Drosophila melanogaster: one gene and its partners. The protein of the gene in region 3 purifies or fractionates together with the protein of the main gene of each other region. This does not show direct contact. Each region holds a gene or a part of one and is shown on either strand. Other genes may lie near its edges. The genes, in order: kibra, Khc, Mer and Sik2.

Evidence for each region.
Region 1: the proteins of Mer (region 3) and kibra purify together in Drosophila melanogaster (affinity purification with western blotting; 3 studies listed by BioGRID). This does not show direct contact.
Region 2: the proteins of Mer (region 3) and Khc purify together in Drosophila melanogaster (affinity purification with western blotting, with the first as the bait; one study listed by BioGRID). This does not show direct contact.
Region 4: the proteins of Mer (region 3) and Sik2 purify together in Drosophila melanogaster (affinity purification with western blotting, with the first as the bait; one study listed by BioGRID). This does not show direct contact.

The regions. Positions count from the first base shown.
Region 1 is NT_033777.3:14,721,237-14,726,127, reverse strand, and holds the start of kibra (kibra), read left to right. Parts: upstream 1-1,866; 5' UTR 1,867-2,554; coding exon 2,555-2,817; intron 2,818-4,891. Other genes in the region: CG7530 (uncharacterized protein), read left to right, coding at 1-88, 198-671, 739-969. UniProt on the Drosophila melanogaster protein: Regulator of the Hippo/SWH (Sav/Wts/Hpo) signaling pathway, a signaling pathway that plays a pivotal role in organ size control and tumor suppression by restricting proliferation and promoting apoptosis.
Region 2 is NT_033778.4:16,266,429-16,273,490, forward strand, and holds Khc (kinesin heavy chain), read right to left. Parts: upstream 5,544-7,062; 5' UTR 5,058-5,543; coding exon 4,911-5,057; intron 3,826-4,910; coding exon 3,366-3,825; intron 3,228-3,365; coding exon 1,348-3,227; intron 1,277-1,347; coding exon 836-1,276; 3' UTR 532-835; downstream 1-531. Other genes in the region: csul (capsuleen), read left to right, coding at 1-225, 291-446; CG33017 (uncharacterized protein), read left to right, coding at 5,884-6,213, 6,277-7,062. UniProt on the Drosophila melanogaster protein: Kinesin is a microtubule-associated force-producing protein that may play a role in organelle transport. Milt and Miro form an essential protein complex that links Khc to mitochondria for light chain-independent, anterograde transport of mitochondria.
Region 3 is NC_004354.4:19,689,176-19,695,226, forward strand, and holds Mer (merlin), read right to left. Parts: upstream 4,326-6,051; 5' UTR 4,261-4,325; intron 4,075-4,260; 5' UTR 3,783-4,074; coding exon 3,126-3,782; intron 3,067-3,125; coding exon 2,857-3,066; intron 2,760-2,856; coding exon 2,523-2,759; intron 2,461-2,522; coding exon 1,657-2,460; 3' UTR 522-1,656; downstream 1-521. Other genes in the region: CG14229 (uncharacterized protein), read right to left, coding at 5,392-5,689, 5,754-5,776. UniProt on the Drosophila melanogaster protein: Regulator of the Hippo/SWH (Sav/Wts/Hpo) signaling pathway, a signaling pathway that plays a pivotal role in organ size control and tumor suppression by restricting proliferation and promoting apoptosis.
Region 4 is NC_004354.4:2,055,883-2,063,867, forward strand, and holds the start of Sik2 (Salt-inducible kinase 2), read right to left. Parts: upstream 6,034-7,985; 5' UTR 5,740-6,033; intron 4,963-5,739; 5' UTR 4,832-4,962; coding exon 4,217-4,831; intron 4,147-4,216; coding exon 4,083-4,146; intron 3,880-4,082; coding exon 3,593-3,879; intron 3,537-3,592; coding exon 2,439-3,536; intron 2,384-2,438; coding exon 2,102-2,383; intron 2,042-2,101; coding exon 1,947-2,041; intron 1,886-1,946; coding exon 238-1,885; exon of another isoform or gene 229-237; intron 175-228; exon of another isoform or gene 144-174; coding exon 36-143; 3' UTR 1-35. Other genes in the region: CG4281 (uncharacterized protein), read right to left, coding at 6,853-7,009, 7,065-7,985.

The DNA of each region.
Region 1 (4,891 bases), on a different chromosome or scaffold from region 3:
CAACCCGTACATTCGTCGCGGATACCGCACCTTTCTACCTTCCACAAAAATGTGCCTGCAGAGCATTTTCTGGTGGACCAATGAGACGGTAAGATTGCCACACTAGAATGATACTCCATTCCAATTGGAGCTACAATAGTTTTCCTTAAACTCTATTCCCTATTATTATAACATTATTATTGCTATATTTTTCATAGATCAACATCTGGAGCCATCTGGCCGGTTGCATCCTGTTCATTGGACTGACCATCTTCGATCTGCAGTTCCTGCGCCTCCACGCCTCCCTGAGCGACCAGGTGCTGGTGGTCTGCCTGCTGGTCTGCTTCTGTCTGTGCATGCTGATGTCCGCCATATACCACATCTTCTCCTGCAAATCGGAGGAGCACTACGAGCTCTTTCTGTCCGTTGACTTCCTGGGCATTTCGCTGTCGCTGGTGGCCATCTATATCAGTGGCATGTACTATGCCTTCTGGTGCCACACCTTCCTGCGCACCCTGTACTCCACGATTGCACTGGGCATGTTCGCACTGGCCATTGCCGTGCAGATACCCCGTTTGAATGTGTCCATGAACGGCAAGGTGGCGGTGCTGCTACTCTGGTCTGCCTATGGAATCATACCTCTGGGCCACTGGGCGGTGGCCATGGGCGGTCTGGAGAACGAGCTAGTCAGGGTAGGCATCAGTTGGAAATTTATGGAATCTTGTCATTTGCTAATCCATCAATCATTACCATTTGCAGCTGATGGTGCCCCGCATCGTGCTCATGTACTTGCTCTGCCTCGTCGCCTTCGTTTTCTATGCGGCCAAGATTCCGGAGCGCTGGTTCACCGGCAAGGTGGACTTCGTTGGGCATTCGCACAACTGGTGGCACCTGATCATCGTGGCCGCCTTCTATCACTGGCACAACACCGGACTGGTCTATGCCGAGTATCGCCTGAATAACGGATGCACTGCACCAGTTCTCTCCTAGAACTTGAAGATCCGAACATCTGAGTTAAGATCCGAAGATCCGAGGAGCGGAGATGGAATCCGGGACTCTAGTAGACTAAAGCTTAGTGTAAATAGTTTATGGGGCGCTCTTTATCCGCTAATAACTAATATTTAGTTGTAGTTGTTGACCGATATGATTAATTTATGTTTAATTTACCAATTAGTTAGGGTTTCGTGTTAGACAATCCAGATCCAGATAGTTGGCATCGCATAAGCGGCAAAAAGGTTTCTCTCTTTATATCCTAATTGATTTCCTTTAATATATACAATTAAACAATGTCAATGAAATTGCATGTGTCTTGAGCTGAAGCTGTGTTAGTCTTGTTGACTCAATTTTTACAATTCATAAAATGCAAATACAATATCAAACGTACAAAGCAAGCGAAATTGTGGTTTTATTGAAGTTATGTTTCGGAAACATAATTTATTTTTCTATCTATGGTTGGGATACATATTGATTTCGAAATGCGTAACTCAGTTTACAGTCTTTTTTTTTAAATTTTTTCTTTTTCTGTTTTTAAAATGTAACGGAAATGTTAGGATTAAGATAACAGTAATTGTTAACAGAGCGAGTTAACATGATCTATCGGAACTGGCTTTGATTAACATCGCTTGAAGAACCGAACTAGTTCCTGTTACCAAGCCGATCTTTGAACGTACAACTCCTATTTTCTTCCCTCAACAATTACACCTATGCTTGGGGACTACACAAGCCAAATAACAATAAATACTTTTCGTGCATGATTGTTAAATATCGCATCTCTGCAACCGCGTCAATACAGCCTATAATATCGATATCAACCAATACATCGAATAACATCGCCGCGAGTGTATCGATATGCAATGCGATGTTTTCTGCTACACCACTAGCAGCGAATGTTACCAAAACAAATTCCGAATCCGAATCGGACGGTCATCAAGCGCGCTACTCGTGTTTTTTGCTGCTCCCCCAAGGAATTCCGGAACCGAAGAGATCGGCGACGGCGCGAACTCACTAAACTGAAGTACATATTTTTTTGTGAACACCAAGTGGATGGTTGGATTATCGTCGTTAATTAGTTTCAATTAGGCGAAAATAAGAAAATAAGTAAAGGAGTTCAAACGCTTGCAACAACAAGAAATGAAAAGAAGCAGCACCAACTGTGAGCAGTGATCGTGTGCGCTTGTGTTCGTCCCCCATATGTGTGCGTGTGTTTGAGCTGGAATGGAATGCAGTTACGAAAAAAGTAAATAAATAATTGAGAGCGCGCCCGCGCTCTCCCGCTCTCTCTCCCCTGCGCGCGTGTGTATTCGAGTTGGCTCGGTGTGTGCCTCTACGCCCGTCACCGTGTGGCCGTGTTGTGTGTGTGTGTGTGCGGGTCGGTCTCCATTATCGCCGGAGCAAAAGAAACGGAATTGAAATGTCTTTGCTAATGTAAACAGCGCAAAGAGAAACCCCCCGAAAAAAGAAGCAAACGTAGATAGCAATAGCGAAAAGAAAGAAAAGGCGCGCGTCGGGTGAAAAATCCAGCAACAACGACGTTTTCTCAGACTAACCAAAGTACACGGCGAGAAACAAAGTTAAAATGCCGAATCTGCAACAAACCGCATCGCAATCGCAGCATCATCTGCATCCCCACCACCTGCGACCCCAACAGCAGCAACAGCAACATCATCATCATCATCAACAACAGCAACAACAACAACACACGCATCATCAGCAGCAGCAACAACACCACAGCGACTTCCCACTTCCCGATGGCTGGGATATCGCCAAGGATTTCGATGGCAAGACCTATTACATAGATCATATCAACAAGAAGACCACCTGGCTGGATCCCAGAGATTGGTAAGTGTTCCGGAAAGGGTCAATTAAAGAAACGAAATTGAAACAAGGGCGATCTGAAATATAATTATAAGATATTTGCATTTGGAAAGTTAGTTTAAACTTATTAAAACTACTAGAACAATTATCAGAAATGAGGCATACATAACGAATGACCAAACCAACAGGTTGTGTTTTAAATAAGTTATAGATGCTTTAACATCGCAAACTATCAAGAGTGCTTATAAACCCCAATTGCTGCTTAATGGCTAATAAGTGAAGCAGATAACTCATTGAGAATCAAATTAAAATAGAATAAAATTCTTGGCAAGTTGTTAGTGGCTTAAGAAGGCATAAAACGCAGGTGAGAGATCAGCAGTTCACTCATTCAGGAAGCTCCGGCAAACGAGCTAAAAAAAAAACCCATATAAATTCCGATTCCGAAGCGCTCTTGAACCGGAAAGAAAAGGTGCGTGCTGCAGCTGTGTGTGTAAAGGAATGCGATCGGTGGAGGCGAAATGAAGCAAAAAAAAAAAAGAAAAATAAAAGGAAAATAAAATAAAGAGGCAGCAGCAAAATAAATTACATATTTTAAACAAGACAGCAGCGGCAGCAGGCAAAACAAAACGCAACGGAACGGGGGAAAAACTTGGAGTAAACATTCCGATGCGATGATTAAGACTCCGAATATAACTGAACTGAACAGAGAGTGGCAACAAACAAAAAATGGATTGTAAAGCCAGGGAAATACAACAACAAAAATTCGAGTGAGAGAGAGCAAAAGTTAAATAAAGCTCGGCGAATGATCTGTAAAATAAAAGGAAAACAAAACCAACAAACTCATACGTAATGAGTGCGAGAGAGCCAAAGGAGAGCGAGCGAGAGCGCTGGCGATCAGGCCATGTATCTCATAGATACATTTTAGTTTGCCGTTCGCTCACATTTTTTGTCTTCCATCTCGCTCGCGCCCCTCGCTGCCGCCCCACTCGCCATCTCTGTCTGTTGCTTTGCCCATAAACAATTGCAAAATGTACGTAGGAATTTTTGCAGTTTCGAAATAATTGATTTCTGAAATTCTTCGCCCTCTCTTTCGCTGAGTTCAATTTTTCGCTTTTCACAGATAGAGAAATGTGTAGTGTTAGATGGATTTTGTATCTTCAATTGCTCGATAGCAAATGCTTATTGCCTTTCTGCAGTTGTACAGCATTTTCATTGACATTAGACACACTCTATAATTTCAATATCACGTTGCAAATGATTTATTAAGCCATCAAAGCTTGAATATTAATTTTTTCCAGTGCATTTCTATCTGTGTACGCCTTATTGTTTCAGTTCGTTTGGTGCTGTGTGCGCTTCACGCTTTCAATTAACACAAACATTCCCTTTGTTTGTTTCAAATCGCATGGACATTGTTGAAAATGTTTCACTGAATTAAGCGTTGTGGAATTTCAGCTCTTCCGCCCGCCCGCCTTTGAAATTGAAACGAAACATCTGCGCATTTGCTAGGGTTATGCATCAAGTAGATTATAAATGCACACATGTCGTTCAAATGTCTGCCAGTGGGCACAAAAAGTCAGCGATCTATGAGCGTTACGTTCCGATTTCGGGGTTATAGAAATTTAAAGCTTAAATGACCTTAGGGGATTTACTTACTATTTGAAAAACCAATCAGATTATGAAGAGGGATACCATAGAATATAAGAAATAAAAACAAGAGTAAATGTTTTATTGGTATTTTCTGTATACATCTGCAAAGTATGTCTTCGAATTTAACTAACTATTCCATATTTTTCCAAAATAGTTTTACCATTTCTATTGACCAAACAAAACTATTTAATGCTGTATACACCCCTTATTGGTATTTTGCCCAGTCGCGCATATTTTGTATCCAAATCATATACGCTTTTTGGTCCCCTCTTCGGCTGTCTATCGATCCCCCGCATCCAACTTGCTATTGCTATTGAATTTTCAAAATTGCTGCCGGTAGCGCGCAAAAATTCCAATAAACCATAAATAAATTTCTACAATAAAGCGAAGCGAGCCAGGCCTCGGGCAACCTTTAAAGGCCTCGCCACGTTTCGAGCACAGCCAACAGAAA
Region 2 (7,062 bases), on a different chromosome or scaffold from region 3:
ATTGACGAGCCGCAGGCTCTGTTTGAATTCGTACATCCTAATCGAGCGGAAAATATTGACAATACTCGCTGCAAGACGGTTTCATTTAAAGTCAATAAAGATTGCGTGCTGCACGGAATCGGCGGATACTTTGATACCCATTTGTACAAGGACATCTGCCTAAGCATCAATCCTCTGACCCATACGCCTGGCATGTTCTCCTGGTTCCCCATGTTCTTCGCAACGGTACGTGTGATGTGATTAGTTAGCCTTTGATAACTGCTACATTAATATATATTTTTACTACTCAGCGTCCAAGAACTCTGAGGGAGGGACAGACTATATCCATCCAGTTTTGGCGATGCGTGGATGCAACCAAAGTGTGGTACGAATGGCAGGTGGTCAATTCTCCAGACGATTGGGAGCACCATAACACACGCGGGACAGGTTACAACATGCGATTGTAACAGCAGACGATGTAATAACAACCAATAGCCAAATAATCGGCATAATTTTTTTGAACTGCAATAAGAATCAAACTAAAGAGACCTTAATTTGTCTGCGACTTTTATTTAGGTTTATGTTTGAAAAGTTTATAAATACTCTTAACGTATATAGATGTCCTTACATATCTGTGGGTTTTATTATTTTCGGTTTGTAAAATTTAGTTAATTTCCGGTTTCCTTTCATTTATTTAATTAAATTATATGTATGTATATTTAAAGCGCTGCACATGATCGCGACACATCTCATCTAAGCGAAGGCAATTATCAGTTATGTTAAGTATGTATAACGTAATCCATTTAGTTTAGTTTAAAGCGGAGCTGAACTGGGCGGCGACAGGTGGTGATTGGATCTACGAGTTGACAGGATTAACCTGGGCCAGCGGGGATGGTCCTCCAACGGCGCCACCACCACGAATGGCGATTGCACCCTGGCCGGACCGGATCGGCTTGGCGATCTGTGCCTGTGGGCCACGTCTGCCCAGATGCTTCTGTCGCACCGCCTCCTTGATGCGGTCCACCTCGTATTGGTAGCGCTTGCGATCCCGCATTGCGCCCTCCTTCGCCTCCTTGAGCGCTGTCTCCAGAGCTTTCACCCGCTCCATGGTACAGCGTAGACGCTTCTCCAGCTTGGGCAGCTCGCACCGCAGATCGGCGTTGTCCCGCACCAATTGCTTGTGCACCTTGGTCAGCTGGTCGAGGTTGTTCTCCAAGAAGGAAATCTTCTGTTTCTGCGCGAGTGATCCACCGTCCTCCTCGCTCTCCTCGTTTACGACATTCTTTCGGATTCGTTGCTGTTGGCACAAGGGAAATACATTTTAAGATCTGTACGTAGCAATAATAGATAGGATTGCTTAAACTTTACCTGTAGATCCTGAACGAAAAGTTTTCGCAGGTTGTGTAGCGTCTGCAACTCCTTGGCCACCGTGTCCTCCAGGCCCTTGAGGTCTTTGCGCGCTTGCTCCCGACGCTCGTTGGTGAGGATGATGTTCTGAAGCTCGCTGGACTTCTCGGCATCCTCCTGGCGCACCTTCTCGTAGTCGGCCGTCATCTGTTGGTGCGCCAAGAGCAGCTTTTGATGGACATCCTTCATCTCGTCCATTTCGTGCTGCTTGGCGGCAATCTCATCCCGGAGCTCGGACACCTGCCGGGTGTGGGCTTCGCGTAGCTCGTCCATCTGAGAATCGAACATGGAGCGCAGCTCCTCAGCCCGCTGTTTCTCCTCGGCGTTAACGGCGGAAACGTGCTCGGCGGCCTTGAGCTTGGCGCATTCCTCGCGCAGCGAATCGATTTGTTCCTCGAGCGTGCGCTTCTTGTTCTCTGCCTCCCGCATCGACTCCTGCAGCGACTTCATGCGTGCCTCGTGCTGCGAAATGAGTAGCCGGTACTCGCCCAGATCTTTCTCATATTCGGAGATCTTCTTGTTGGAGTCAGCCTGCTGTGTTTCCATGTTGGAGCATCGCTGGGCAATGTTCTTGGCCTCCGTCTTCATCTTGCTGATAAACAAACGCGCCATGGTGAAATCTTCCTCCACCTTGCTGGCATCCGTGCCAGCCAGAGCACTCATCTTGAGGTCAATGCTGGACTCGCCGGGGGCAATGGCCTGGCCCACTTCGCCAAGGTCGCGCAGTAGGTTGGTTAGCATTTCCGTGATGCGCTTCTTCTGGTGTGAGGACATGTCCTTGAGCTGCTGTAGCTCTGTGGAGGCGGCGTTGAACACAGACTGCTTCTGCTGCAGCTCCTCGTTGAGGGCATCGATATCCTTGTTCTTGTTATCGATCTCCTGGGATTTCTGGTCGTAGTTTACAGCCAGCTCTTCGAGAGCTTGGAGCACCTCCTTAACCTCTTCCTTGGCGGACTCGTTCTCCTGTTGGATTCGCGCCATCTCCGACTGCAAAGTCTCATACTCACGCCGAGCGTTAGCGATGAGTTCCTCCTGCTCCATCACCTGCTCCTTGAGCTGCTCGGCGTACTGGCTCTGCTGATTGATCTCCTCATCCTTGTCGTCCAGCTGCTGGTAGAGACGCTCGCACTCTGTAGCCAGCCTGGCCTGCTCGTTCACGGCAACCGATGCGGACATATTGGCGAGAGCCGTTCGCTGGGCGGCCAAAGCGGCCTCGGCCGCCGCCGTCTGTGCTGCCTCCACTTCCAGGTTGGGCGTGCTTGCCTCCATGAGATCCTCCATGTTGATTTGCTCCTCCGCCTTAACAGTTTCACCCGCTCTCCAGCGCGCAAGCTCGATCTCCAGCTTCTCCACCTTACCCTTTAGTCGGGCGTTCTTTTCCTTCTCCTTTTCATAGCGTCGCTTCCATTCCTCGGCAGTAAGCTCCTCGTTAACGCAGACCACGTTCTTCACTGTCTTGGCTCTACGACCGAAGTCCAGCGTTGACTTCGTTTCAGATTCGTTGAAACTGGCTGGAGAGCAGCAGATGACGATGGTTGTGCGTGCATTGCCTCCCAGCGACTCCTGCAGGATGCGCGTGAGCTTGGAATCACGGTAGGGGATGTGCGTTTTGTTTCCGTCCGCCAGGGCTGAAATTACGTTGCCCAAGGCCGACAGCGACTTGTTGATGTTCTTGGCTTCATCAAGAACGGTTCCCTCCGCTCCAGTCTTGGAAACCTTCTCGGAACCGGCCAAATCCACCAGGTAGAGTTTGCCGGATAGTTTCTTCTGGTTCTCCAGGTTCTCCTGCTTCACATTGATAAGGAATACTGAGTGGGATCGCGAAGAATGCTCGTTCATGTCTGAAAGGATGGATAAATCGTTATAAAAGATGATCTGGTACATGAAACACTACAATCGAGGTCAGAGCGAATGCTGGAATAACTCCTAGACTTGTTTGGCTGAAATGGTCCTGACCATCGATTTTAATTAGTACTCACTTGTCACAGCGATGTGACGATTGGATTTGCCCTCCTCGATCACCTCGAAAACATCCTCCGGCGACGAGACGAACCGTTCCGTAGCGCCCTTGACGTACGGCACCCGGTTCTTGTCCTCGTGCACGCTTAAGTTCACCTTGGAGACGTCCAACAGATCTCGAATCTTGTCCATGTAGATCTCGTAGTAGGAGACCTTGATGTGAAACTCCAGGTTCACCTCCATCGCGTAGATGTGATTGAAAATGTCGTTGACGATACGTGGTATGATACCCTGTTTTACGGAGTCCCCGATCACGCCCTCCATCGTATGCGTTTTTCCGGAGGACGTCTGACCATATGCGAATATCGTTCCATTGTACCCGGCCAGGACATCCGTAACAATGGACTTGGCCGCCTCATTGTAGACCTTCTCCTGGGATGCATTCGGTTTGAAGACCTTGTCGAACAAATACACCTTGCCCTGCAGACGATGGAGATTAGGTTTAGTATAATGTGTTTTTTTCTTTAGTACATAGCAGCCAGTTACATTAGCTATAAACTGGTGTCAGTTGCGGTGAAATTTCTTTCGGAGATTCATTCCCCCTGTCCCCGATCTTTTCCCGCTGACTGCCTTTGAATCATTTTCAACGCATGGCCGCGAAGCAGATTGTAATTATGAGCATTAAGACATGTTAAGTGGAAGGGGGAAGAATAGTGAATAACGAGCGCCAGAAGAAAGCCACAGCGAAAGAGAGATAGATAGAGTTAGTCAGAGAGAGAGAGAGAGCGTAATGATAATGTCTGTGTATGGAGGCACTATATTAGTGCTGACTTTTTTGGAACTGGTTCAATTGCCCAAGCTTTACCAGGAATATGACGGATTACACCTGGCGGAAAAGCGGGAAATTCAGCATAGCATACAAAGCAATAACATTTCATGTGGCATAAAAGCAATACAGCCAAATTCCATTGCCTCCAAAGTTGCTCTTATTGTTTTTCCTCATATTTTTTTTTTTTGTATGCTTTGCGTGCATGACTCATTGGCGCGCGGACAGGGGAGTGGAAGTGGAGCGGGGGCTACCGTCAATGTGTGTATGTGTTTGTGTGGAAATGTAAGTGAGGTAAGCACTGAAGGCGGACTGGAAACTAGAAAAGCGCATATTTATGCGGCCCAAAAGAATGGAACACCCGCTTTTAGCAGAAAACCGTCTAGTGGGTGGCATTTCTCCACCCCGTCATCGCGCTTCTTTCGATTTACACACCCTATTCTTTTTCGACTGGGGGAAAATCAATTTGGTGCAAAGCAATATTGATTTGGAGTAAAGTTAGTTGGTTTCATCATATACATGTATATGTACATCTAGTTTTGTTTTGTGCAATTATTCATGGGTAACTTTAGTGCCTCTCTCTTTTTATCGCCTGGCATTCCAATTGGTCGGCAATTTTGGGGAAGGGTAATGTACGCTAATAGGCATGACGTCATGGCGCGGCACGCCGAGATTAATGCATAACACATAGGGAAAAGGCACTGGGGGCTGGCGAAAACTATAGATCTGGAACACATACCGCTATGGATATGCAGTTCTCCTCCACATTGTTGGGGAACTTGACCACGAACTTGGAGCCGGCCTTCTCTTCGCTGTCGTTCAGCGGTCGGAATCGGCAGACCACTTTGATGCTGTCCTCGGCGGGAATCTCTCGTTCCGCGGACATTGCTTACAGGGCGGAGATAGATCTTTCTGGCGGAGATTGTTGGATTTCTGCAGCTCTGGGCGCGACCTCTGCGCATGCAGCTCACTGTTTACGTGGATAATCAACGGACTCGCTATCGTCCGCACTATCTGCTGTTCACTGTTTGCTTGTGCCGATTCTGGTACTCCGTTTGGCCCCTTTTGTTCCGATTCTCTGCTGATTCCGACACACTCGCGAAAATTGGGTTGGGGGCGGCTCAAATAAGAAGATGCAGTGAAAATTTTGTGGTTATACCAGACACAAAAGTTGAATTGGTCAAATGGCGATAACGCTGGAGCGCAACCTCGATTCTGACTGCTCCGCGTCGTACTGTTTTGCACTTTTTTGCCCGGAATGATTAAGTGCAGCCGCTAAATGCACTCGCATACGTTAGTAGGTCGGAATTAGTTGCACTCAAAACTATTTTATTATTCGACTATTATTTTCGCTACTGTGCGCCAGTGTGACCGTTCTGCTCGCCCAGCTAAATACCAATCGCCATTTAATTGCACAATAATACTGAATTAATACTCTCAAAAGCTTCGAATGTATGAGACACCCTGCAGATCTTGAAAATGGTAACGGCATATAATATTCCTAATTAAGCGATACCGTTTAAAAATCATTCAAAAATTATTCAAAATTGCTTGTTTATTGTCACTTTTGTTTTTCCTGTCCAAATATTTCGGCTTGGGCGCAATATATAGCTCCAAACTAGGCATACAACCTCTGTAGGTTCAATAGGAAAACGCTATGGAAGATTGATCACCGAGTCGCTGGAAAGGATTGTGGAGAACAGAGGGGCACGATGGCACAGAAGGATATTACGTCGTATTTGAATTTGGAGCGATTGAAGAAGACGCAGAAGCTCATCCGACTTTATCGATCGAACGAGTGCCTCTGGAATCCAAAGTCACCTGGTTTCCATAGTGGTTCTGCGAAGGATGACGCCTGGCGACAAATCACCCGGCGGATGAACTGCGGCCTGACTCCTGACCAGGTGGAGCTGCAGGTGCTCGGTCTGCGGCACTACTACTCCAAGGAATTGGCCGCCATCCGAAATAGTCAAATTGAGGGTTATAGTTATAGTCCAAGGTACTCCTACTTCGAGGACTTGCATTTCTTGGGAAACTTGGAGGTGAGTGGATGGTTTTTGCACTGGATATTGAATAGTGAACCATTATCTTCTATTTTTACACAGGAGGAAGCTAACTGTCCCATTAAGGAAGGACATTTCCCACCCAATTTTTCGGAGGACACATTCATATCGCCTCTAGCTTTTTTAAGTCCCAGCTGCAGTGAAACCAGGTGCGGGTACACCTTCTACAAGATGATTCTAGAGCCTGAGCCACCAAATGAAGAGTTCTTAGGTGTGCACCATGAAAGATCTACGTCCGGCAATGATCGGTGGTATCCCACTGCGTACTGTGTTCGTTGCAAGCCAGAGGAAGACGAAGATCCTTGTGAAGCGTGCGAGCTAAGAGGTCAAAGCAGTCGTCCTCAATTCGGAAGTAAGAGCTCTTTAGAAGGCGGAGAAAGCGGCAGTACCAACCCAAGGATGTCTAATCGGTATCAGGAACAGGATCAGTCAAATAAATTCCAAAAAAGTGATAGCAAACAGTATCGAACTGGGAAACCATGTTCATGTCCCACGAAAGACAACCCAGAAAAGCGTTCATCGCAAACGCAACAAAATGATGTGTACGTCGGTGCTGACAACTGGGATGGTTACGAGTCCGTCGGCAATGGTATACGCAGCGATAGATGGCCAGGTCCCAGACTATGTTCCCAAAAACGCGGAGAGTGGAAGCCCAGGTTCCGTAAAGTAATCGGCGAGGACAATCAGAAGTCGTGCTGCGACAGCTGGAAGCGAAATAATAATGCCGTGTGCGGGAGACTTCTAGACCAGTTGGCCAAGCAACAGAATCAACCCGGCAGTTACTCCGACGATGGAGACTCCGTTCGGAATCAAAGCTGCGGCTGTACG
Region 3 (6,051 bases):
GAAATCAATATGGATAACATACATTTTCATTTGAACTATGACATTTCGTTTATTTAATATCTAATATTAAGTTTTTACCGTTATTTAAACTTTAAATAAAGTTCTCTTATTATAATTACTCCGCGTAATAACGGAACATAACAAGGTGTATAGGGTAGAAACACCCTTTGAAGATCTTGAATTAGACAAAGATACACTGATGGTGCGAACGAGTCCGGAGTACTCTTCGGATCTGAAACCCTATACCTTTGAATGATCCGTCTATCATATCGAGTGGGAAATTTCCTTTAACGCCGTGCACGCCAAGTTAAAGGATTAAGTACCCTTGCAGTTAAACGTTAGGCATAATCTATAGTCTACAGGTACATACATATCTATAGTCAGATTCAATTAAAATGCAATTCCTTTGTCTGAAATCTTGAAAAATTATAATAAATAAATAGAAATCCAATCGTTTAATTTGCGCCACTTTATTTTTTTAGCTATAGGATACACTGCAGGAAGACAGCATTTTCGTTCCGATTTGCATAGTTGTATGTATGTATGTACATATGTACATATGTATTTAAACGAGCTGACAGAAAATATATGGCAACAGAACTAAGAGACCATGGAATCGGATGGACATCCACAGTCTCTGGGATAACATCCGTAAACCGACCACGCTCAGCGGAATAGGAGGGAGCTTCAAGAATATCGTAATTAACATTCAGACTTAACTAGAACAAATCCGTGCCTGCAGTTCCAGTCACCGACTTTTAATCGGTAAATCACCGCTCTTTTAAAAATGTTGAGCGCTTAAACACCGCACAATTTGCACGAAAGCTACCGGTGATTTTAACATTGGCATGTTTTAGGAAATCATCGGTATGAAAAAAAAATCCCAAAAACATCGCTATTAATCACCGTTGTTTAAGCGCATTTTAACGGGCCAATCGTCCTTTGATTCAGCGTTTTTTCATCGCTGCTTTAGCGGTTTTGGGTTTTGCGGTTTATGGTTTTTCATCTTTGGGAGAGAGATCGCTCGCGAGAGAGTCGGTGTCGGTGAGAGAGTGTGATGTTTCTCAAGATCGATGAATTGGGGAACTGCAGGGAAGGTATCAACACACTGACAAAGTCAAAAGAGCGCCAAATCTTCGCTATTGATCACCGTTGTTTGAGCGCATTTTAATCGTCCTTTGATTCTGTTTTGCGGTTTATTAGTTTTCATTTTTGGAAGAGAGAGATCGCGTTCGAGAGAGTCGGTGTCGGTGAGAGGGTGTGATGTTTCTCAAGAGCGATGAATTGTGGAACTGCATGGAAGGTGTTGAATATCTTCTACCGAAAATAACGGTATCTAATCGCCCATCTACTTTATGAATATTTTTCGTGCGTAAGTGAATGTAAAATCATATATGTACATATGTATGTACATATGTACGTTTGCAATTGGTTTATTACAGCAGCGGCTTGAGCGAACAATCGAAAAACATTAAATATAGTATGTTATAGTAGGATATAGTACAACTACGGTTAAGGCACTCATACACTCTAGCACGCGCACAGGCACACACGCCAAATCGTAACGTATCGTACAGCTAGATGGGGTATTAGTCATGTCGGCGGATGCGGGGGTGAGGGGGGAGTAGGTGACGGAGGAGGCGGAGGCGGAGGAGGTCAGAGCTCCTCGAAGAAGGCGACACGCGCCTTGGTCGAGCCGGACTTGAGTTTCTTGAGCGTGGAGTATTTATTTTCGCCGGCCTTGATCTGCGCCTCGCTGAGGATGTCCAGGTTGCTCTGGTTCTCCTCAATCTTGTGCGGCGCGATCTCGGAGCGCAGTGTCTGCAGTTGACTTTGCACCTGCTTGGAGTTGCGCAGGTAGTCGAGGTGGTTGCGCTCCATCTCATTGGTGATCTGCTCCATCTCGTTGTCGGTGAGTATGAACTCCTTGGGCTCGAAGTCGTCCGAAATGCCGCTGGAGTTGTCACCTTGGACCAGGTAGTGTGACGAGTGGGTGGTCAGCTCGGCGCCGCCGGCGGTCTCCAAATCATTGGTTGAGCTGCTTGTGATCAGGGAGGGTGTGCTGATGGCCGCCATGCTGGACGCCGTATTCGCCGCGTGCGACACACTGGAGGCGGTCAGCAGGCTATCCGTGGAGGACTTGCGGCCGCTGTTGAGGAATTCGAGCAGGCGAGCGGTGGCCTCGCGCTCCGCCATTTTGGCGCAGATCAGCTCCTTGCGCAGCTTCTCAGTCTCGGCCTCCCGCTTGTCGTTCTCCACCGTCAGCTGGTGGACATAGAAGTCGGCGTCGCGAATCTTCTTCTCCAGGTCGTGCTTCTCCCGCTCGATTTTCATTTGTCGCTCGCGCAGCCGGTCCATTTCCGTCTTGAAGTGGTTTGCCTTGCACTCGGTCAGCTGCATCTGCTCCTCGTTGACACGACTCTTTTCGAAGTACAGCTCCTTGGTCTCTTCGGAACGCCGCTGGGATACAGGGAGAAACTCAATATTATAGATCAGAAGCCACTGGGCGGAGTGAGTCTTACAAGTGCATCGTTGGCCATGCGCATTTCGTTTTGCAGGTGCTCCATGCTCTTCTCCAGCTCGTAGCGCTCGTGCTCCGCCTTTTCGCGCAGCTTCTTTTCCCTGATGAACTTTTTGCGTTCGATCTGGCGGCGTTGCTTCTCCTCCTTGGCTTGGGCCTTCATCTGCTGGATTTCCATGGTGTCGGGTTTGCGGCGGCGCATATATAGATCGTGATTGCCCTTGCACAGGTCAAGAATCTGCAAAGCACACGATGCAAGTGTAGTATGAATATGGGAACATGAACATAGTGAAAATACATATACATATTTCAGTTGTCACAACTGCCCTCCTTACCATTTTGTTGATGTGGAGGTCCTGCGAGTAAAAGATGAAATTCGAAACCTTGGCATCCACCAGGCGAATGGTGAACTTCTTGTCGTCGAAGCTGACGTGCCGTATCTCGTTCCACTGGAACGTTGTCTTTGGCGTTAGCTTATCGCGCTCATCGTAGATGTTTAGGCCCACGGAGGTGACGCCCAGCCACAATTTGGTTTTGTTCTTATTCTGGTGGGGAACACAAACGATAAGATTCAGATGCGCCACGTGAAAATCAAGGCTCTCACCGTAATAGGAAAGTAGTTTACTCCGTACATGTCCAGGTCCTGAGCAATCTTCAGGTACTCCATCTCCACCTCGTCGCGCGTCATGGGCTCATGGTCCATGTACCATGTCTTGATCCGTTCCTCCCACATTTCGGGCGTCATCTGGTACTGATCGGTCACTCCCTTGGGCAGAAGCTCACCCCCGGCCAGCATACCGTCCTTGTAGGTCTCGTAGTCGTACGGACCGTATTGCACGTGCACCGCGTAGGAGGCCAGCAGCACGGACGCCTCCGGGCGGCAGTAGATGTCCATGGAGAGGATGCTCTGCTTGACCTGCAGGAAGAACAGGTGCTGCGTGATCTCCTGGATCAGCTCCTCGCTGACGTTCTCCGGAAAGAACTTGGCGTAGAAGCTAAACACATACACATTATTGCTAGCGTGCAGCTCAACGCGCTGGTCGCGCACCCGCTTCTCCATTTTCAGCCAGGACACGTTGCTGCGGGTGTCGACGTACTGCAGCCCAAAGTACCAAGACTCGCGCAGCCCGATGGTGCGGCACACCAGGTCGAACAGATCCTGGCCGGAGGCGCGCGGCTCCAGCTTGAACTCCAGCTCCGAGTCGAAGGTGCTCACCCGCACCGACAGGGATCGGTTTTTCTTGGAGCCGAAGGGGCTCATCGCGATTATGTGATGTGTTTTGATTAGATTCGACGCAATGTGATGTGATGCGTTAGATGCAATTGGATTGGAGTGGGAACTGAGTGCTCTTGTGGGCAATTCGTGATAACCTGTTGCGTGCAAAGGACTTGTTGCTCCTGCTAATCTGATTCTTGGTCCTTCTGGTGCTCCTGTGCCATCTAGTGGCACGATTCCTTGTTGCTGCTCCTGCGGTCCTCGCCTATCGCGGACTGCCTCATTTTGCAGCCAATTCGGTGCTCCGGGCAATGGCAATGGCAATTTGGGCTGATGGCTGTGAGCGGAAAGAAAGAAAGAGTAAGGCTCTTCGTTTATGCGGCGCTGCGATTTAAGAACTGCGTGGCCACGGCATCCTGGCGCCCACTATTCAACCGCTCACCCAGCTCCTTTGGCGTGGAAGCTGATTGAGGGTCGGCAGAAGGGTCTCCACATCGACCAAGTACGAGAATAGGCAACTTACTCGATTGTTTGCACCGCGAATCGCAATTGTACGACAAATTCCCGATATGCGCGACATAAACATAGACAGTGTGACCAGCCGTTAGATGCAGAAAAATCAGCTTTGGCAGACGCCTTGTATATTTAGTAGGGTGATTCCATTTCAATTTTATGGAGGAATCATAATGCTTAAATTAATCCATCTCAAACGACATAAAGCATTGAAATGTCAATATATGCACATGAAAACATATTAAATACCTTAAAAATATATTAACTTTCCATTTTCCAAAAGTTTTCAAAAACTGGCAAAACAGTGGTAGTCCAAATACCAAAATATACCGCAATATGTTTTTTCAAATTGTACACTCATTTTTAGTTATACGAATTTTTGAATGCTGCGAAATAGATTTGATCAGCTATTTGATGAAAGATGAATTAACTAAAATAACACAGTGCTATATAGAGTTGCCACCCTGTCAATGGTCACGAATTGGGAAAATGAAGTCCTTGAGCGCAATATTTGTTTTAAAGATTTGTCTAAGGATGAGATGTATTACTATGTAAATGTTTATTGGACGTATTCTTGTATTGCAGGTCCATGCTTAAATTCTCGGAATAAGCAAAATGACCATGTCAGCAGATGCGTATATAAACAATGAATAAGTCCAGCTTTCGTTTTATCAGGTCCCTGTAGCTTATTTTCCATCTCCACCGACTCAGCAATGAACTTGTACCCCCCTGGATATCGTATTTCATCGAAATAGGAAAATATAAAGATATGGAGGTTTTCTTACATTATTCTTAGAATAAATTATACATGCAGGATTATAAATACATATTGAAGGGATGGTAACCGATGAACATAGTTTATATATATTCATGTGCGTGTTTGGGGGACTCTTAGCTCAATTTATACTACTATTATTATGTGTATGCATCAGGGGTGATGCTAATGCCATGCAAGTAAACAATGCTTATCACACAAACGCAAGTGACTCCAGACACGGATATCCGAATCCGTGCGCAGAGAAGACTGAACGGAGGCGAATTACTTTGAACCTAGAGAGAGTGTTGCTGCAGATAACTCGTGTTGGCACTTAAATGGCTGTGCCAGGACTTGGACTCGCACACCGGAATCCATGATCACTAGCTACTGGCTGCTCCGCTTGATGCGCTCGACATGCAGGTCGTACAGCATCTTGTTCTTCTCGTAGTAAAATGGGTTTTGTTCGGCTCCCAGTTCTGGGTTGTATTCGTATCCGGCCGCCACACCGTTTCCGGCTGCATCGGACCCGCCGGATCCACCAGTCGCTCCTCCTCCCGACAGTGGCGGAATGCTGCAGCTGCTGCTGCTGCTGCTGTTCCCATCCTCGTAGTTCAGATTCAGGTTGTTGATGCGCTTCGAAAGGGGCGACTCGCAGGCCAGTTCATCCTCCCGGCTGCGCTTTCTGTGGAGGAATGGTGTGCGTTTGATTAGCGCTGGGACCTCACTACCTTGGTCAAGGTGATTACCTTGTCTTCAGGAATCCAGCCATTCCGATCCCGGGGCCAGTGCAGTGTGTTGGTTTCGGTTCCTATTGGTCAATTGTTTTGTCCTGCCCCGTTTCACAGCAGCGACATCCACCAGTGTGACTGCCTCGAAGTTCGAAATTGGCTGTGGGATATACCAATGGGTTGTGCTAAATATACCGCTAATCGAGGTTTGTTTTTTCTTAAATGGAAATCACAAATAGCCAACCCAAACAGCAGATATTGTTAAGAAAACCGAGATTATATTGTATCCAAACAAATAGAATATTTTTGGGAGGGA
Region 4 (7,985 bases), about 18 Mb from region 3:
CCCAACCCCTCCACCGAATAACATCACACACGGCCTCAGACTGACTCAAGGTGCTCCGATATCTCCAGGATGGGGCTCTCGCTGAGCGGCTTTACCAGCGACTGCCAATTGGGCGTGAAAAGGCTGAGCACCGGCGTCGATGTCTGCGGAGGACACAAGGAGAAAACGGATAAGGTTTATATACGAACTTGGGATGCCTGAGAAATCATCTTAATATGCGTTATCTAGCTTACTTACATGATAGTCGGAGTCCAGGCTGTGACCGTGGGGCGTGGTAGGCTTGCACTTGACCGTGGGCGTACCCGGCGCCGTGGACGGTGGAGCTGAGCATGATACCCCAGCAGCTGATCCTCCGGAACCAGCTCCATTAGGCGCCGCACCAGGCACCTGGTCCGATTGGCTGATGTAGGAAGTCTTGAGGTTCATCTGACTGAAGGCATGAGCTCCGGGCATGGTCATGGAGTGCTGAAGCCTAGGAGTTCCGCTCCTGGGCCGATCAAGCAAGGCCAACTCGTACAACTCGTCGGCCAGGTGATGTTCCGGAGCCGGAGCCGGCGGCGGTGGCGGACCCAGGCTGTGGCCAAAGTGGTGATGGTGGTGATGGCTGTGCTGCTGATGGTGGTGATGTCGACCGGCTAGCTGCGCCTCCAGTGCGTACTGCTTCTGGAACAACTGACGCTTCTGCTGAAGCAGGCGGTGCTGCAGTAGCTGCTGCTGCAGCGGTGGCTTTTGCATCGGGGACATGGGCACGGCCATACCCACGCCCAACTGATGGTGCGTGTATAGCCCTGGTGGCGGCGGTGGCGGAGCATAGCATCCATGACCATACATATCCCCACCAGCAGCGGCTTCCAGGAGCAGAGGTGTGGCTTGGTGGCCTGAATGGAACAGCGAATGATGGCCATGGTGATGCTGCGCAGGATGCGCATGATGATGGGGCAAAGTCAGCAGCGGATGATGCTTGCCCGGCAGAGCATAGAATTGACCATTTGGAAATTGACAGAGTTCTTCCAAGCCGTACGCTTGGGGATGAGGATGCGGATGCTGATGCGGATGTTGATGGGCATGTGGGTGTGAATGCCCCACAGCCGCCTCCTGCTGCAGCTGCTGCAGCTGCTGGATCTCCAGCCAACCGTGACGCTTGGCCTGCTCGTAGCGATAACTTCCGTACACACGACTGGTGCCCAGCAAGGAACCAGAGCTAAGCAGGCCCTGGGCCACCAGGCCATCACTCGCCCGTCTTCCTTCGCGAAAGTGTATGGGTGAACGCTTGTCCAGGAACGTGACACCACCGCCATTTGGCGGAGGCGTAGGATTCGGCGTGGGCGTGGAGGCTGAACTCTGAGGAAGGCCCAAGCCCAACGGCAGAGCTCCTGGCATATGGATGCAGGAGTTGTGGCTCCCGTACAGCGATCTTTCCGATGAATGCTCCGATGAGATTCCCGCTGGCGATGCCGAGGCCGGAGTGGGCGTGGCCAGCATCGAACTTGAGCCCATGCACGAGGGTAGACTGCCCTTGCCAGAAGGCAAGGCAAAGTCCAAGCTATCGTAGGGACCGCTGCAATTGCTCTTGGACGAGCCGCGGCTCAGGTTCTGGCTCAGACTTTTGGAGTAGCTACCAGCGCTCCCGGCGAGAACGCCACTGGACGAGCTACTACTGGCATACGAGCGCATCTTGTGACTCTGTCCAGAGGTAGTGGTTCCAACGAGCCGCGTCAGATCGCTGCTGGAGTGCGAGGTGGGTCCGCCGTTGGCGTTACCGCTACCGCCGCCATTGCTGCCCTTTGACTCCTGGGAAGCAGAGCCCGGATCGTTGCCCTGGTCTGTCTCGCAGCCCTCATCTGTGCTGGAGCTGCCTTGGGCCAGAACTTTCTTCTCCGAGCGGCTGCGGAAACGGAAGAAAACGACATTAGTCAAGAAACTATCGCTGTGACTGCAAGACTCACCTGTCGCCATTCGATTTCGCATCATTCGTTTCCTGGCCGGAGTCACCGCCGCTGCCATTGGTGCTGCCCACGTGCACACGACGCTTAGTCCTTTGCTGGAGAGGAAATGGAATTTGTCAGCTGGAAGCAATTATTAACTCACACGTATCACTCACCTCCACGGGCAGTGGGCTTTCCTGGAGAGTCTGGAAAAGCTTGCTGGCCTCGGCGGACATCTTGTAGCGAAAGCTTTGGCCCAAATTGGCCTTAGAATCGAAGCTGCTCGAGCTGGACATAGTCTTTATTGTCTTGCCGTTAATCTCACCAGGGCAGGGAGCCGATCCCGATTCCGGTCCCGCTGTACTGGATGTGGGTGTGGTAGAGGCGGGCGGAGGAACGCCTCCTACGCTTGATTCCGCCTTTGGCGGATCATCTTTACCCTCAGCCACTGCTGTGGACTGCCGAAAGTATAAGGATAGAAATAACTTGGGATAGAATCAGCCGAAAACTCACCTGCTGCAGCAGCGCACGACAGTCTTCGGTGCTCTGTTTGATGATGAACTCGCTGATGGTCTGATGAAGCTGCTTGGACGCTAGAGGCACACCCACTGCTCCAACGGGTCCTCCTCCAGCCTCCATCATCTCCCTGCACCGCAGGTTGGCCAGCGAGGGGTTGTTGTCGATGCTGAGCGAAATGGCCACCGGTCGATGGCTTCGCGGCGAGCTGGAGCTTAGACTGTGTCGTCCTACCCTCGAGGATGTGGATGAGCAGTTAGAGGGAGCGGGCGACGCGGCTGTCGGCAGCGGGGTGTACCGCATGGGCAGCGGAATGCCGCTGGCATCCACCTCGACGCCTCCTCCATTCAGATACCCAGTCAGGTGGGAGTGGCCCGTCAGAGGCAGTGGCAGTTGCAGTGGGCCATACTTGGCGTAGTATCCGGGACCGGGATCTGGAACTGTGGGTGTCGCGCCGGCGTGGGCGTTACGCTCACTCATGAGTACCGTCTGATGGCGGCTAAGTCTTTTGTGGCACTGATCCTTGGCCAGGATCGAGCTGGTGGATATTGTCTTGGACTGCTGCTGCGATTGTTGCTGCGTCGGTTGGTGGTCATTTCTGGAGCTGTAGATCATCCGACTGGCGGAGGTCGACGAGGCAAGGGCGCTGGCGCCTAAGCCGTTGCTCTGCTCCTTCTTGTGGCTAACTCGATCCTGCAGGAGCAGATATATGGCCGCGACATGGTCGTAAGTGTTCTTCTTAAGACTGGCTCGCGTCTTGTCCGACCCAATGCCGACATACTCGGCCATGATGCGAAGAATGTCCTCGCTGGGTTCCACGGACGTCTGCCGCTCGGCGCCCAGATTGTACTTGGCTATCAGGACGTGCTCCAGCAGCTCGGGGCACATCCAGCGATGGCGTTTGATTTGGTCGATGGTGTACCGCCTTGTGGGCTCCAGTACCAGCATCCGGCGAATGAGGTGCTCGCACTCGGAGCTCATAAAAAACGGAATGCGAAAGCGACCGGAAAGCACCCGATCCCGGAGGCTCTGCAGCGTGGATCCGTCGAAGGGCAGGGCCCCACATACCAGCACATAAAGCACGACGCCCAGTGACTGCAGGAAATTATACATTTTTGGATAAATTGACACGTATACTTCGCACCACTTACCCAAATATCAATCTCTGGACCCGTATATTGCTTTCCCTCGAAAACCTCGGGAGCTGCGTACGGCGGTGATCCGCACCAGGTGGCCAGTAATTCTCCCGGCTTGAAGTGATTGGAGAACCCGAAATCCGCTATTTTGATGTTCATGTTCAAATCCAGGAGCAGGTTCTCCGCCTTGAGATCCCGATGCACTATGCCCTTCTTGTGACAGTACTCCACCGCCGATATGATCTGCCAGAACTTAAAGCGCGCCGCCGACTCGGACATCCGCCCGTACTTGGCAATGTAATCTGGATAAAATATAAAGGTAAGTCCATCTCATTGAAACCCTTATCAACTTAAGAGAATGCGAGAGATTTAAAGCTAGTGTTGTTCGTCCAAAGGTCAACAAGTCTGTGCGCAATGTGGGTTCAAAAGTCTGCTAACTAAATCGAGTACTGTACTCTACAGTCCGAGTTTAAAAAATTTTTTTTAAAATGAAGCCTCAACCCACCGAAGATCTCTCCTTGGCTGGCATACTCCGACACTATGTAGATCATATTCTTGGTCTCCATAACCTGTGGGATTGGTAGAACGGGATTAGGAATACGATTCTTGGCAGGATCTGCCACAGCAAATTCTGCTGACCTGGTAGAGCTTAATGATGTGAGGGTGCTTCAGGCGCTTCATGATCTCCACTTCGCGGTAGACTTTCTGTAGGTTTGTCTGGTCCAGCTGCGACTTGTCAATGATCTTGATAGCCACCTCGTTCTTGGTGATTCGATGCCGGGCCAGCTTGACCACTGCAAAATTTCCCTTGCCAATGGTGCGCTCGATGTCGTAGAAGCCCACGCGCATGGGCTCCTTGAGTTTGAGCAGGTCCTTGCCACTGATACCGCCCGCGCCCACCGCAGAGGATGTGGGACTGGGACCGGGCGTGGAGCCACCCCCGCTGGCAAAGAGCTTCTGGGCGAGCAGTGCATCCTTGCAAGCCACTATTGCGTCTATCGAGGGCGAAGCAGCACCGGCATCCAGGAGCACTGAGCTCCGGAGGGCATCCAGTGGGGGGTGTGAACACGCTCCTTCTGCTCCTTTTGCTTCGGTTTTCCCGTTTTGGGGCAAATTCTCCGGCGGCTTATCCAGCTGCTTCTCGTTCCTCTCATGCTGCGGCTGCTTCTTCTTCTGATCCTCCGGCGGCTGGCTCTCCTCGGACTTGGCCTGGCTCCCATTCTCGCCAGCGGCCGCCGCCTCGCACGTGCTCATTTTCCAACTGCGCCACCCTGGGCGGGAAATCTCACACGGAGAGCGCGAGGCGGAGGGAGTGGGAGATCGCGATCGACAGCGAGATGGTGATGCACATGCTCACACACACCTCCTGTCTCATGACAGCGCTTCTGCGGGAATAGAAAAAGTAGAGTGGTATATTTTGGGTAGAATTACAATACAATAATGAACTGAAACTTTTTGAATGGATGTGCGACTAATGTTGTGTGTTCCCCATGTACATATATGTGCATAGAAAATATGTAAGTGCAATAAAGAACGGGATGACTCCGGAGAAGGGGTGGGCAGTCGTCGCTTGATAAGAGATTACCTCGGCTTTCCGAGTGTGTATGTGTATGGCTTTCGGACGCGGACTCCACAAGCCACCAAAGCTGCACTCTCCCTCTCTTTCTCAGGCAGTGTTGCCACAGTTCAATTGCAATGGTAAACTGGATTCACGTTTAAATTTAATCTATCACGATAATAATAGTGTTATTTCACTCGCATATCGCATATGCGCACCAGGTACAGACAAATATTTTAAAAACCATTAGCTGAGGTCCTCAAAGACATGCAGATCCATTTGTTAGTGCCCACCAAAAGGAAGACATTCAACGAAAATGGCTGACGCTGCACTTCCGCTTTCAAAATGGCTTTTTTTCCAGCCACAAAATGGCCGAGGTGCCAGCACTGACTGTGTGTGCGGCTGAAAGTGTGTGGGTGCCAGCGTGCGAGTGTATGTGTGTGGGTGAGTGTTGGTGAAAAATCAATAAGCAGAGCAACCGCATCGCATCGTGGAAATGCTCCGCGGTGCCAGTGGCCACTGTTGTTTCCTTCAGGATGCAGTGCAACCGATTCAGAACCACTGCCAGGAGATTTCCCCTTAAAGCTGCTCTCCCCAAAAATACCGTTATTGGTGAAAGCGTTAAAAGCACAAGCCTCGCCGGTTGACAAAGAAGTTTCGAGCAGGAGCGGTGGCAAAAACTGAGAATAGGCTACAGGCTGGGCCAGCTTAATCCGAATCCGGTTACTGGCTATGAGAGGATAAACGCTGGCGAGGATCCGCTTTACATCGCGTCCGCGGAGCGCCACACATGCGGCTCGGAACAGCACAGCACGGCACACACAGACACAGTCGCTGCGACACACACGGCAGATGGCTAGGAAACGTGGCTGCCTCCAATCCCGAGCTGCGTCCAACTGGCGTCCGTATTTGACGCAAGCTCGGCGCTGTCTGCCCCATTCCACCCACTCGCCCCTCAATTTCCGACCCTCACCAGCACACACATGAGGGTTGCCAAGTGAGCGCCAAGTGCCGAGCATCGAGCATGCGCCAACTTTTTCGCGAGGGTGGGAAGTTTGATGGAATTCATTTGAATTTCGCGCCCTTTGATCGTAAAACAGTATGCAATATAACCCGTTTCACCGATTCAGCTTTCAGATAGACAGTGACCGGTACAACTAACAGAAAGAGTTTGAACTATTTTCAAATTTTTTTCAGATATACTCAGATATACTTTTGCTACTGATTTGTATTGGGATGTTGCTCTTTTATATAAAATATCCACCACATTCTAGGTAAAAATGAAGTCCACATGTATTCCGGATATGACCACACATATATATTTCTTATATTCATATTCGCTGAAGGTCTTACATTAAATATTTTGTACAGTGGAACGGCTGCCGACGGCTTTCGGTCGGTCCTCTCTCTCTGTCTCTGAAACGTGTCATCTCGCTCGCTTCCAAGCGTGAGCCCAAACCGACGGGATCTGGGATCCGGTATCCGTCTTGCTGGCGCCATTCCCTAACGAAGTCAGTTAGTATATACACGGACCGATGCAACTTATGTACATGGAACAGATTTCACAAAAACAAGCTAAAAGCATTCATAGATTAAGGGTTTCTTCCACCCTAGAAATGCAAGCGTATGCCAAGAGTTTCACCTCGAGTGCTGATGGCTGTACGTTTGCATTTGCTAGGGATTGGTCTTGTTTGGATTATAGTGTTGCTTTCTGGGGCTAAATCTGGCCGGGATCTTGCTGAAGCGGCTGCTGCTGCTCTCCTTCCTCCTCTCCCTCCTCACCGTAGCAGCGCCGCTTAAAATCGCCAAAGAGATCTGCACGCGGCTGCAGACCTTGTTGAAGATGATCCATGCTCACCGTCTGCGTAGTGTTCCTGGAAGAGCAACAACTTAGTTATAGACTTTGAATAAGTATCCCTTTATCCTTACCCGGTTTTGGTGAGCACTGTACATCCGTGCTCTACCACCATGGTAAGTGAATAGAGCGTGGCCAGATTACTCATGCTATCGGTCTCATAAAGCTCTATATCCGGCAAACGGATCTGTGTCTGTTGCGAATCCTGCAAAAATCGGGCGATGCGCTCATTGACGCTCATCTTGATGCTGAATCCTGGACGCTCGCCATTGATGCGGCGACACCCTGCTCGTATCTCACGTACTTCCTGTCCCTGGGCGTGTCCAGGAGGCGACGAGGAAAGAAACGGATTAGAGGTTTCGCCGGACATCTCACTCTCGATTTGGCGGGAAGCCGGCATGGTGCCATCTGCATTTGTTTCCATCTCTGAGCAGGCATTCTGAATCTCGATAGGCTCGGAGACGCCGGCTGGTTGGAAGCGGGAAAGATCCTGAAGAGATTCTGGAAGTTGGACTGGAGACTTCGAAGGCGGTTCCATACCCACCGCTCCCGCTTCGGTGCCAGACATAAGAGTGTCATCTTCTCCAATTGTGTCATCCGAGCGAATTTGAGGCAGTAGTGATTTTTTTGTAAGCTTCCTTTTTGGATCGTATCTGGCTCCGGGTCCGAATTCGTTTCCCGGCCAGTCGGTGAGTTCATCGTCGCCCTCGCGATCGGTGTCGTGCCGTCGATGACCACCTACTTCCGCCTCGCTATCGGTGGACGAGCTCAGGGAACTAGAGCTTAAGAAGTCATAAAGTTCGCTACAATCCATTGACTGAGCTTGGAGCTGCAGCTGAGGCTGTGGAAACGTTTGGAAGCGGCGGCGACGTTCCGTTTTGGATGAGCTACTGCTGCTGTGTCCCGGCGCCTGCCCCTGCGCCTTTTTGCGCAGCAGCGGAGCAGCTGGTGGCGTACTCAATAACAAGGCATCAATATCGGTCACAGGCACAATG